3 linked regions of the Nothobranchius furzeri genome follow. The protein of the gene in region 1 interacts with the protein of each later gene in a biochemical or structural test. Links are inferred from orthologs where the notes say so. Each region holds a gene or a part of one and is shown in the gene's direction. Other genes may lie near its edges.

Region 1 (4,167 bases):
CGCAGATCACATATTTCCAGTGATTAAATGTTGCTGATTTAGTTTCTGCTGGAGCATAAAAACAGAGATGCACCAATTCTGGCTTCAAGACAAACCAATTTCCAATTTTTCTTTAAAAAAAAAGATTTCAAACATGCATTCATTTAAATCAATAAAAATATTAAATTAAATACAAAAACTAACTCACCTCTATATGATGATAAGAAGACTGACCAATCACAACCAGTCTGATTCCTGCAACCTGCAAAGTCACGTGCATGAGGAATTTCTGAATAATAAAACAGCTATAAACATTATAAACATTTGGTTTGCAGCTTAGAAAACTCACCTCCAGAGCTTCTCTTGGTACTTTGCTCAAATCATCAACATACTCTTTGCAGCTGTAACACAAGAAGTTCTGCAGGAACGGAGAGAAGTAACAATCAAAGGAACTTTTCTGTCCACCAGAAGTTTTTTAAATACCGCATCAAAAGTTCATTTGATGCATAGCATATATTAAAACAAACCTGTGCTTAAATTGTTCATTTAAATGCAATTAATCAACAGCACAAAACCTAATGAAGAACTTTTTGTTTCCTACCCGCACGAAAACGATGACCGATTTCCTGTCCTGATATAAACCTTTGAAAGGGAAAGAGTTTCCGTGTCGGTCGTGAATTAAACAATCTTCTACTTCTTTGAGATTAAGATCGACTCTTCTGGTTTCTTTTCCCCAGCGCTCCCTGCGAACTTGTTGGGTAATTGGTGAAACGACTTCAGCCATGTTTCCTGGAGCTTCCCAGCACGCAGCGCTATTTTTGGGAGTTGCCTTCACGGCTGGAGGAACAAGCAGCTGATTCATGCCCACAAGCTGCAGGGCGTGTGTGTGTGTGTGTGTGTATGTGTGCGCGCGCGCGTGTGCAAGAAATGGCCTTTCTAGTTGTTTTTCTTTTACATTAGTAGGATCATGAATACTACACCAAACATGTTTGTTACACCAGAAATATGAGTATGACTGACGCTTATTATTGAAAAGGTAATGCATCACAAAGTGAAACGTAGATTTAACAAATATTCCTGAACAGTACTCTTAGAACTCAGTGTAAGTTATATTCCTTGAGAAATTCTTTATCAGAGTGATCTAAAACCCTGAAACGATTTAGAAAATGTGACTTATTTATTACAAAGAAAACTTTATTTAGAGGAACACTGTGGATAATTTAGCTGGGGGAGTTTGCAGGTGACATTTAGGAATTCTAATTGATCATTTTGTAGGGATAAAGTTGCAAGATAACTGTTAAAAATGCGTTTCGAACATAAATAACCGACGCTCGTTCTGTTCCCATGACGAATTGAAAAACTCCCTCGTCGGCTTCCGTCGTTCTGCCCTCGCGCTGCGGAAGTGCTGCACAGAAGCCCAGTGCTGTTTGGATTAAGACCGCAGCGGCTCGATTCCAGGTCTCCCCGTGGCCGTATCTCTTCCTTCGGGACCTGTCAGCGCTGGTTTTGGACGTTTACTACAGCGGTATTATGCGAGCATCGTTCGGAGTGTGGCCGCAGCGTGTGAAGTGGTGAGAGCTACAGCTAACTTAAACTTAGCATCTGATGATGACTGGCCTATCAGAACACACCGTTAGGATCTTTTTTCCCCAGTGGTTTCAACTGACAGGATAACTGTGAGTCAATATCGGACATAAACCCGCAGAGAGCTCGGGTACAATTCTAAACCGGATGTTTTAGACTGCGTTTGTGTGTTTGCGCAAGCTAAACAAACGACCACCTGTTCACTGTTTACATCTTTGTGTTTTCCTTCGACAACAAACAGACGAGACATCTCTGCAGATGTTTCTGCTGATGATCAGCTGAAAGTTAGCCGTTGACAACAACGTTTGCTTATTTTATGACGAGGAAAATAGTTGCTCTAAGCTTCCTCATAGATTTTTAGGATCTGCTCTGTCGTTCTTTGCATAACTGTGCAAACATTGACAGTTTAAAAATATTTTGCATCAAATCAGACATTTTGTAATTATTTACAATAGATAAGCAAGATTTCTTCAGGAAATTTCAAATGTCCTTCATTTGGACTGACTTCTCTCATTTTCTGATAATTTTAACAAAATGTCTTTCTTTTTGTTAAGCCATTTGTGTGAAATCTATTTTATTATATTTTCATAGTTTGTCATCCAGAATTAGTTTAAATTTTTTCTGTTTTAATTTTTTTTAGAACAGCCGACTTTAGATAAACAAATGCAGAAAAATATAACAAAAACATGTGGTGGTAAACAGGTTTTTAAGAGGGCATTAAAATTAATTTCATAAGGCCCTAGATAATGCGCAGAACCCTCAAGCTCCCAGGCCACTGATAGAAGAACTGAGATTGGAAGGATGAGACTACCCGCAGAGGGTGAGATGGGAATTAAAAAATAATAATTATATAACATAAAAACAACATTTAATCAGTATTAAATAGTTCATTCTCGACAGCTGTCGAAAAGACAAATTTTTTCAGATTTCTTGAATACAGTTCATGTAAAAAATCCAAATGTAGCACATACCACCTAAAATAGTTAAATTGTATGTTAACAAGGTGATGCCCAGTGAGCTGTCTGCTGACGTACACCCCCGTCACCACTGTGGACTCCTTCCGCTTCCTCGGAACCACCATCACACATGACCTTAGGTGGGAGCCATCCATCAGCTCCCTGATCAAAAAGGCCCAGCAGAGGATGTACTTTCTGCGGCAGTTGAAAAAGGCCAAGCTGCCGGCCCAGATGATGGTGCAGTTTTACACGGCCATCATTGAGTCCATCCTCACCTCCTACATCGCTGTGTGGTACGCTGGAGCCACAGTGAGGGACAAACATAGACTGCAGCGCATTGTGCGCTCTGATGAGAAGGTGATTGGCTGCAGCCTTCCATCTCTCCAGGACCTGTACGTCTCCAGAACTCGGGGGCGTGCAGGTCGGATAGCAGCTGACCCTTCGCACCCGGGTCACAGACTTTTTGAGCCGCTTCCCTCAGGCAGGAGGTTACGGTCCATCCGGACCAGAACCTTTCACCATAAGAACAGCTTCTTTCCATCTGCCGTTAGACTTGTGAATAGATTATAAACACACAACCATGCTCGTCTTCTGTACTCGACACAAAGATACGTTATCGGCCATGTTACCATTACCTGCCATTTTTTATCGCTGAAAGTTTTATTCGTTTTTTTTTATTCTATTTTATTCTATTTTTAATCTTATTATTCATGTTATATGGAGCACATTCGTACCGAAGCAAGTTCCTAGTTTGTGAATTGTTTGTTCACTGACAATGGCAATAAACCTATTCTGATTCTGATTCTGAAAAGTGACATACAGCAGTTAATCAATCTCTCTGGTCCTGTTTCAGACCTTCGCTGAATTTGTACTATTTCTTCAAGAAATTCTTTCAAATTCTGTTCGGCTGGTTTGCTGTCATTTATTCACACTCTAAATCACGCTGTCATTGGAAATTAGGGAAAAAGCAGCAGAAGTCTAAAGAATACACTTCTATAATTAACAAAAGTTGTTTAACAACATGACAATGAATGCTTTGCTCTTTGGAAGCTACATATATAAAAATAAATGTAGTTTAGGACTTCTGCATTGTATGCTTACTGTCTGCCAGAAATTTAATGGCTTCATTTTTTTTTTACTAATGAGGCATATTTTAATTTAGATTTTGGTGTAACGAGACATGATTTACGGTCATTTTCTAACAAATGCATTCTTGATCTTCTAGAGTTTCGTTGAGTCATCTATATGGGCCATCTTCTCTCCAAAAATGGTTTACGCCTGAAGAAGAGGACACGCAAACTGAATCACAGGAAGAAGAAGAGGAGAAACTGTTTTCTGCGGGGGCCCTGCATGCTCTGCTTCATCATCCACAGCAACAACCGTGATCTCGACGAAGACAGCGACCAGCTGGAAGCCGGTGTCAACGGGTGCCGTCACAACAGCGTTGCTGGAATCGGTGTCCCCGGTGTTTGCGGAGGTGGCATCAGCGCGTCGGCCGCTTCCAAGCTCGCTGAGCGATACGCAGCACTCGCATCTCCTGAGGACTGCTCCAAGTTCTTGCTGTCGCAGAGAGAACTCGCTATCTGGGAAGGCCAGGGGAGGAGTCTTCTGTCGGCGGTTCCTGCTAAACTAATTCCACCACCGGTGC
Region 2 (3,906 bases), on another chromosome or scaffold:
CTGACCAAAGAAGGGGCAGCAGAGCTGGCAAAATACGACAAAGTTAAACAGTGAGTAAAAACAATGATTCAAAAAAGTAAAACACCTAAAACCCAAGAAAAAGCTAGATAGCATAATGTAGGTGGTACATAAATAAAACATAGAATTTAAAACCAAACAATTAAAATAGGTAAGACACAAAATAGAAAGCCGAAAGCTGAGGACACACCCATTAGGAGGACTTCACTGGCTGAAAGCCAGTTTGAAGAGATGTGACTTCAGTTTTGATTTCAAATGCACAAGTGTCGAAGCCAGGCACACTTCCAGAGGGAGTGCGTTCTACAGCTTAGGAGCGGCAATGGCAAATGCCCGCTCACCGTGGGATGGATATTTCATTTTAGGAGTGCAGAGCAATTGATCTGTAGATTGTAGTGATCGGGAGGGGAGTTGGCAAGTGAGCAGCTCAGACAGGTAGTGGGGTGCGTGATCATTCAGAGCTTCATAAGTGAACAACAAAATTTTAAACTGCACTTGGTAGGTCACAGGAAAGTGTAGATCAGCCAAGGTGGGAATGATATGGCATCGTCTGCTTGTAGTTGTAAGGAATCGTGCAGCAGCATTTTAGACTTTCTTTAAGCAGTTAACAGAGGCACCAACAAGGACTGAATATGCATAGTCAAGTTTTGAGATGATAAACACGTGAATAACCTATTCCAGGTGTGGTCTTCTAAGGATGGGTTTTTAGCGTGTCAAGACATCACAGTTGGAAAAAAGACCTCACAGTAGCATTTATCTGTGGGGTCATTGATATGTCTGCATCTAGTTTGACCCAGAGGTTGGTCGCACAGGATTAGAGATTCATGCAGGTGTGGCAAGGTGGAGAAACGAGGGCTCGAGCAGGATTTCGATCCCCAGACTCGCGGGTGAGAATCACGCACGCTAACAAGCCAACCAAAAGGATATTCCCGTGGCCAAGTTGCCAGGGCGCATGATCAATCGGGATACAGTGACAGGAGGTCACCCTGTAACACGGGAGATCAAGAGTTGAAAATTCATGCAGGTTCCTATTTTTTTTGGTTTAAAGAGAATGGCCTCAGTCTTATCATCATTAAGCCAGAGCAAGTTGAAAGCAATCCAGGCCTTAACATCAGAGAGACAAGAAGTAGATTAATGGAACCAGTTTGATCTAAGGCTAGTTAAGCCTGACAGCCATCAGTATAGAAGTAATAGTGCAAACCAGTTTTCACTAAAATATTGCCGAGAGGGAGAATATAGACAGTGAAGAGGGGTGGACCTAGGATTAAACCCTGAGGTACTCCCCAGGAAAGCAGGATGAAGACAGACATGTTTTAATTGCTCTGGCTATTCCACATTAATATTAATGTGTAGTGATTATATCACAATGCTTCACCCTGCAGGTGGATATGATGGTCTAAATATTTTGAATTCAGTGGAGCGGTACGACCCGCACACAGGACACTGGACCAGTGTGACGCCCATGGCTACGAAACGATCAGGTGAATCTGAAAACCGCTGTGTGTGTGTGTGTGTGTGTGTGTGTGTGTGTGTGTGTGTGTGTGTGTGTGTGTGTGTGTGTGTACGCGCGCGCGCTTGTGTGCATGCTACTCTGACCCTAACCGTTGTGTTCAGGAGCTGGTGTGGCTTTACTCAATGACCACATTTATGTGGTGGGGGGGTTTGATGGAGTTTCTCACCTGGACTCGGTGGAGGTGTACAACATCCGAACAGACTACTGGACCACTGTGGCCAGTATGACCACTCCTCGGTGTTACGTAGGAGCAACCGTCCTCCGAGGACGACTCTACGCCATCGCAGGGTGAGAATGAGCATCCTTCTCTCTGTATCTGATGTTTGACCTCTGACCTGTTAGAGCTGAGACGGAAGGATTAGCACTGCATGGTCATGCTAATTTGAAAATGATCGAACCTGGGCTATAAGTGGTAAGAGTTTATTATTATGCAAATGTTGAAGGAAAAAGTCGATGAACAATGAGATGTTTTAATTCCAACAGAGATTAACGGATGAAGTGATGCTGGCTGTGGCTGGAAAGCACCTAGATGCTGTTGCACTCAACTTCTCTGTTTAATTTCTGTAAAGCAGCCTTGGGACAGTTTTGTGACCAAATTGTGAATACGGGAACAAATGGAACCACAAATTGAGGCATTTTGCTACATGTATATTTGCACTAGTTTTCCAGTTTATCTGTCAGTGATCGATGAGAGTCAGGATCCCTTCAAGTTCCAACTGAATGTTTGCATGTATTTTTTTTTTCAGGCATATTTTAATCATTAATACAGAAATTTTTCATCCTTTTACAAATACAGTGATTGTGTGAGACTCAAGAAGATGCATCATATTTATTTAGACATTTAGCTCATTGCTGTGATACAACAGAGTGGTTATGTGTTGGGTTCTGCCTTCATTCACACAGGTGTGTGTGTGTGTGTGTGTTCTGGTGCGGCTCACTGCTCACTCTCTGTTTTCTCCAGATATGACGGAAACTCTCTCCTCAGCAGTATTGAATGTTATGACCCAGTTATTGACTCCTGGGAGGTCGTCACATCGATGGCGACCCAGCGATGTGACGCAGGCGTCTGCGTTCTGCGAGAAAAATGATGTTCTGCAAGAGCAAGAACCACAAGAAGAAAAGGACAGGCAGCTAGACTTTTGCTAAAATGCCGCTAAATTAAACCACAAAGGAAGACGTTTTTGTGCCAGTATGCAAAGATACTCCTAAAGGGGAAAAAAGGTGACGTGCAGCAGTTTGGGCTTTTTCCTCTGAAGGTTAGTTCACCTTTTGTCAGTGCGCTGCAGAGCCTCAGCCTCGCCGTGGTCAACCACACTTCACTTCCAAGGAGCCCATCACCACTTGCATGACTCTTCAGTGGTGTCTGTTGTTACCTGTGAGATTATTTTTTCAGTTTGTCTTCAAAGTGCAATATATTTTTACTCATCAACAAAAAAGGATGGAGCAGGTTTAGGCTCCCCTTGCTGCTAAATGCCTTATGACTTTGGCCTATCATCCACCAGTGGACGTTCATGATGCCGCCCATGAGAATGATGGTTAAGTGAACTGATGTGCCATTTGCAGGCTCTTTAATGGGTCAGTAGTTCACTCCCCTCTTTTGTAACTCATTGTGATAATGGTACTTTTAGATAGAAATCACTTTAACACAAAAGGTTTATTACTAAAGATATATTTCAAGAAGAATATTGTTTTAGAAATTGACTTACATGTACAATCCGATGATTTTTCCTCTCCTATTTGGCAAAACTGAGGGATGCATGAAGCCCCTCCCCCTCCAAACACACACACACACACACACTAACATCATTGTTTTTTGGGAAATTCAATAAAAAAAAAACTCTGAGAAACCGGTTATCTAATCAGCTTCTTCAGTCTAGTCAGCTCTCAAAGTGCAATCCAGTTCTTACACTTAAACCAGTTAGAGTTTTGGTTTAATAGACAAAACTAGTGAAAACAAAATGATTTTACATTTCAAAAATATCAGTCCAGCACTTTGTTTTCCACTTAAGTTTGGATTATTCTTTTGGTTTTGGAAAGATTACAGAAAGGTCAAATAATTAACTTGGTTAGGTTAGGTTAAAAACGTTACTGTTTTACCAAACCTGAATAAATTCTTACCAGCTGTGGTGGTCAGATTTTTAGTTTGGTACCAAGGTGTAAAATTGTTTTCCCAGCTGAGTTCAGTTCAATAACTTTGGTACAAAGTTCAAAAAGTGTCTTTTTCCCAGTCGGAACACTTGAGATGATTTATGAAATAAAGACATGAGGAGAAAAACACAAACTTCGGTTACATAAATTAGAATTGATAGATTTAAGGTTCTAGAATCATTTAATTGCAGGACAAATGTACTTCAGATCTTTTTGTGTGTTTCTACAAA
Region 3 (4,095 bases), on another chromosome or scaffold:
AAATTCAAATTTTTTTTCTTTCACTGTGATCCACGACAGTTTTTAAAATTACTTCTGTTTTTGTACCAGAACAATATAGTTATTATATAGTTGAGCCACAGTGGAAACTTTGTAAAATATGTAAACTACATTAAAATGCACCAAAAATATAAATGTGAAGAAACGTCACATTAATACTGTGTTTTTTTCACAATACTGTCTACAGAACTTTGTAAAATAGATTAGCCTATACACAATAATGATTTAGGAAACAGATATAGATGTACATGAATATAGAAGTGATTTTATTATCACTGTTGTGACCCGGAATGTCATCTGTATGTTTATATGATGTTCATTTAATTTTTTGTATGTAACTGTCTTGATGTTATAAAATAAAACAACTAATAAAGAACAAATTATCATGCAGTTGTCTTCATTGAGTTCTGGACAATAATTAAGTAAAACCCCAAGCTTATTTATAGTTCCATGCTATATGGAGCAGATATTTAGGCGTTGTTGTTTAATGCAATTCAACAAATGCCCAGCTTTATGGTTGTGGTAGTTTTTTTAAATGGTGGTTTTGCCAAATGTATATCAGTGAGTGCAGCCGGCCTTCATGACACATTCACTTCAGTTTTATATTTGATTTAGTTATTTAAGTATTGTGATGATTTGTTGGTTACAAAGCACAAAGAAATGTGAAGAGAACAAGTTCTTAAAAAGACTACATGAACCCAAACAAAACCAGACATGCAATTGTTTGAGTTTACTATTTATAAGGAATGAGTCATAGTTTTAGAAAAAAACAGCCCATTAATGCTGTTCACAAAAGTTTTACTTCCTGGCATAACCTTGTGAAACATAGTTTTATATTAGTTTAGTTATATATTTCTTAAAATCTAAGCTGTAACATTAGTTCATTTATTTATTTATTTTAGTCTTTTGAAATTTCATCTCAGACGTTTCAATGGAAAACACTTTGCTGCGTATTTTAACACCATATGTTTTCAAAAATGAAACTCTAAAATTATGTTATCATCTGCCCCCTGAGAAACTTCTGAATTATGAGGACCCAACCCTGAACATATACCCGCCTTCTTACAACCACTCAGCCAATCACAGTCATGTTTAAATCCATATTTCATTGTCATTGGCTAACAACACCATTCACTCAATGACGTTTACACCGGCCCAACCAATAGTTGAACAATTGAATGCTCCCTTTTCTCTATTTTGTGTACCAGGACGAGCAACAGGCTCCAACAACGTTTTAGCACAGTAATCTATTTCTGGTTACACAATTCGTTTGTGAAGCATTCATGTAGGTGAACAAGTTAACTAAACGGATTATACGTTGTTTCTTTATAGAAAAAAGTGACTTGTTCGAGGCCCTGGCATGGATGAAGTACGGCCTACCAGTGGTGCCCCAGCCCACGGGCTGGTGCCGCTGTTTCCTCCGGGACTACAGGCTATCTATGGAGAATGTCGGCGACTTTACCCCGAGCAGGCCAACCCTCTGCAAGTTACTGCCATTGTTAAGTATTGGTATGTAACATGTTTTGTTTTTGCTGGTATAATTATGCCTGCGTGAAGTTTGTGAATGCGTTTATTTAGCTTTAGCTAAATGCTAGCCTTCAGTTAGCTTAGCCTACGTGCTAACGTAAACAGTTTTGCTAACTTTCTAAACGATCGTGTGGCCAAAAAAAACTGCTCACGCTATATGTGTCCCTTACAAAACACGATACAAGCACAGCAATATTCAAAAGACAACCTAATAAAATAATACGTATACAGAAAATTTGACGTTATAATTCTTAACTGATTTATTGTCAAATATTCAGTATCTTATAATTCTACAGTAATACTTTTAGCATGGTGTTTGAAGAATAAACCTATCTAGGATAATATGTAGATTTCACCTGAACTCTACATGAAGTATTACACTTTAATCCCCAGAATCTCCGGAAAGAGGAAAATTGGGGTGAGGCAACCTATAACGTTGTTTTTTCAGTATAAAACAAGAAAATATGAAATGCAATCTTCATTATCACATTAGACTGTTTTAAATAGGATTTGATATTTGCTCAGTAGTTGTGCTGAGGGTAGAGGTCTTATTCTTAACCCATTTATGATGGAAACTCATATTTAAGCAGTTTTTAAAATGTTGCCAGGGACATTTAATAGATCAAAGAAAGCAAATATTTTATATTTCCATTCCTAGAAGTACAATTCAATTCAAAAATACTTTATTAATCCCAGAGGGAAATTGATTGCTGTAGTAGCTCAGAATAATAATAATAATCAAGTCATCAAAGAGTTGTTGTATATTACAATGGCTGTTGGCAGGAAGGATCTCCACTAGTGATTACTGTTGCAGAGAAACTGAAGAAGCCTCTGACTGAAGACACTCTTCCGTTGTCGGACAGTCTTGTGAAGAGAATGCTCAGGGTTGTCCATAATTTTCTTGATTCTCTGGAGAATCCTTCTTTGCATTATCTCCTCCAGTGGTTCCGAAACTGCAGAAACTCTGGCTGAGTCGTTGAAAGGACCTCCATCTTGTTGGCCAGTGATCTCACATTGCCCATTATGATCAATGGAAGAGATGGTTTGAATTTCCTCTTTCTCCGTTTCCGTTTTGCTCCCGCTCTGCACCCACGCTTCTTGCGTTTTAGCTCATTTGGGATTTGTGGCTTCAGTTGAGGTATTATTTCAGCCTTTCCAATGTTAATCAGCTGCTCCCGATTGTAAACTAGCTTGTTGCCATGGTTACACATCATAACAAATGCTCAAAAAGGGAAAAAAGCTATAAAAAAACGAAGGCTTGAATAATATTATATGTTGTGATGATGATGTTATGATTTAAACAATATTTTCAATAAACTTTAGATGCTTCAGCTAACATCTGTTATCCAGTATCAAACAAGTCAAGCAAGAACTAAATATGAAAACAAAAACTAGCAAGTAATTTTACGCCCCACATGCTAACTAAGTGCTCTATGACTGATGGTTTGCATTTTGCTCTTTTAACAGGCTTGGTGGACCAGACCCTTTAGACTACATCAGCATGTACAGGAACATGGGCTGTCCAGCCCAGGACGTCCAGGAGCATTGGCACTATGTTAGCTTTGGCCTGAGTGACCTTTATGGAGACAATCGTGTTCACGAGTGAGTGAAGGAAAAGTTTTATTATTTTCTAATATGACAAGCCACTTTGTGTAAAAAATATGTAAATTTCTAGTTAATTTAGTTAAAAAGTGGGGTGTCACCAGTCAGTCGGATAAATATTTGCACTATACACCTTTTACAGTGAAACCTTCAACACCACATGCAAAAACCACTGATCTTACTGGCTCATGCTCAGTGTTGCCTCACCGTTCTTGCAGATTTACTGGAGCAGATGGACCCAGTGGGTTTGGGTTTGAGCTCACTTTTAGACTCAAAAGAGAGGCGGGAGAGACGGCACCTCCAACGTGGCCAGCTGAACTCATGCAAGGCTTGGCTCGCTATGTGTTCCAGTCAGGTAAGATTAAATGGTCATCTTTTAGCAAATCTGCAGTGATTGACCTTGGAGAAAAAAATTTGTTTTTTTATTTATTTATTTTTGCCTTTTTTCTTTTTGATTAACTTTTAATGTTCAAGAATTGTTTTTATTCAGTCATGCATCCTCTAGGATAACTGAGAGTGTTGATCGATTCAGCCACAGTTTATAGATCATCTACTGCATGTTTGTGTTTTGCCACCACAGCAGGATGTTGTAAATTTAAAGGTCATGCTTTTTGTGCATGCTGCTTGCAGTTACAGTATTTTGACATCATAGCTGAATAGAAGTCAAGGCAGTTTCATTTGTATAGCACATTTCATGCACAGTGGCAATTTAATGTGCATTCCAATAGGGAGAACATTAAAATTTAAGATTTTTATTTAAAAGTTTCTAGAGTTGGGGCACATTTGAGGTCACAAAGAAGCTGGGTCCATCTGTTTGCAGCATAGTAGCTAAAAGCAGCTTCACCCTGTTTGGTTCTGACCCACAGTTCTACAAGCTGACTGTTTCCTAAGGATCTCAGAGCTCTGCTGGGCGTATAGGGAGCCTAAGTCACTTCCGCATCATGGTTC

What was found.
Region 2: the proteins of fbxl17 (region 1) and kelch-like protein 12 form a complex in vitro, tested with the Homo sapiens proteins (3 studies listed by BioGRID, with this or other methods). The link is inferred for Nothobranchius furzeri from reciprocal best matches to the Homo sapiens genes FBXL17 and KLHL12.
Region 3: of the proteins of fbxl17 (region 1) and sufu, one has a biochemical effect on the other in vitro, tested with the Homo sapiens proteins (2 studies listed by BioGRID, with this or other methods). The link is inferred for Nothobranchius furzeri from reciprocal best matches to the Homo sapiens genes FBXL17 and SUFU.

Annotation. Positions count from the first base shown.
Region 1 is NC_091757.1:53,120,422-53,124,588, reverse strand, and holds the start of fbxl17 (F-box/LRR-repeat protein 17), read left to right. Parts: upstream 1-1,350; 5' UTR 1,351-1,550; intron 1,551-3,744; 5' UTR 3,745-3,764; coding exon 3,765-4,167. Other genes in the region: prxl2c (peroxiredoxin-like 2C), read right to left, coding at 188-241, 329-397, 581-841. UniProt on the Homo sapiens protein: Substrate-recognition component of the SCF(FBXL17) E3 ubiquitin ligase complex, a key component of a quality control pathway required to ensure functional dimerization of BTB domain-containing proteins (dimerization quality control, DQC).
Region 2 is NC_091755.1:52,034,786-52,038,691, reverse strand, and holds the end of kelch-like protein 12, read left to right. Parts: intron 1-1,397; coding exon 1,398-1,496; intron 1,497-1,629; coding exon 1,630-1,816; intron 1,817-2,489; coding exon 2,490-2,616; 3' UTR 2,617-3,345; downstream 3,346-3,906. UniProt on the Homo sapiens protein: Substrate-specific adapter of a BCR (BTB-CUL3-RBX1) E3 ubiquitin ligase complex that acts as a negative regulator of Wnt signaling pathway and ER-Golgi transport.
Region 3 is NC_091752.1:22,197,622-22,201,716, reverse strand, and holds the start of sufu (suppressor of fused homolog), read left to right. Parts: upstream 1-1,179; 5' UTR 1,180-1,260; exon of another isoform or gene 1,261-1,350; 5' UTR 1,351-1,378; coding exon 1,379-1,527; intron 1,528-2,487; exon of another isoform or gene 2,488-2,587; intron 2,588-3,012; coding exon 3,013-3,147; intron 3,148-3,365; coding exon 3,366-3,502; intron 3,503-4,095. UniProt on the Homo sapiens protein: Negative regulator in the hedgehog/smoothened signaling pathway. Down-regulates GLI1-mediated transactivation of target genes. Down-regulates GLI2-mediated transactivation of target genes. Part of a corepressor complex that acts on DNA-bound GLI1.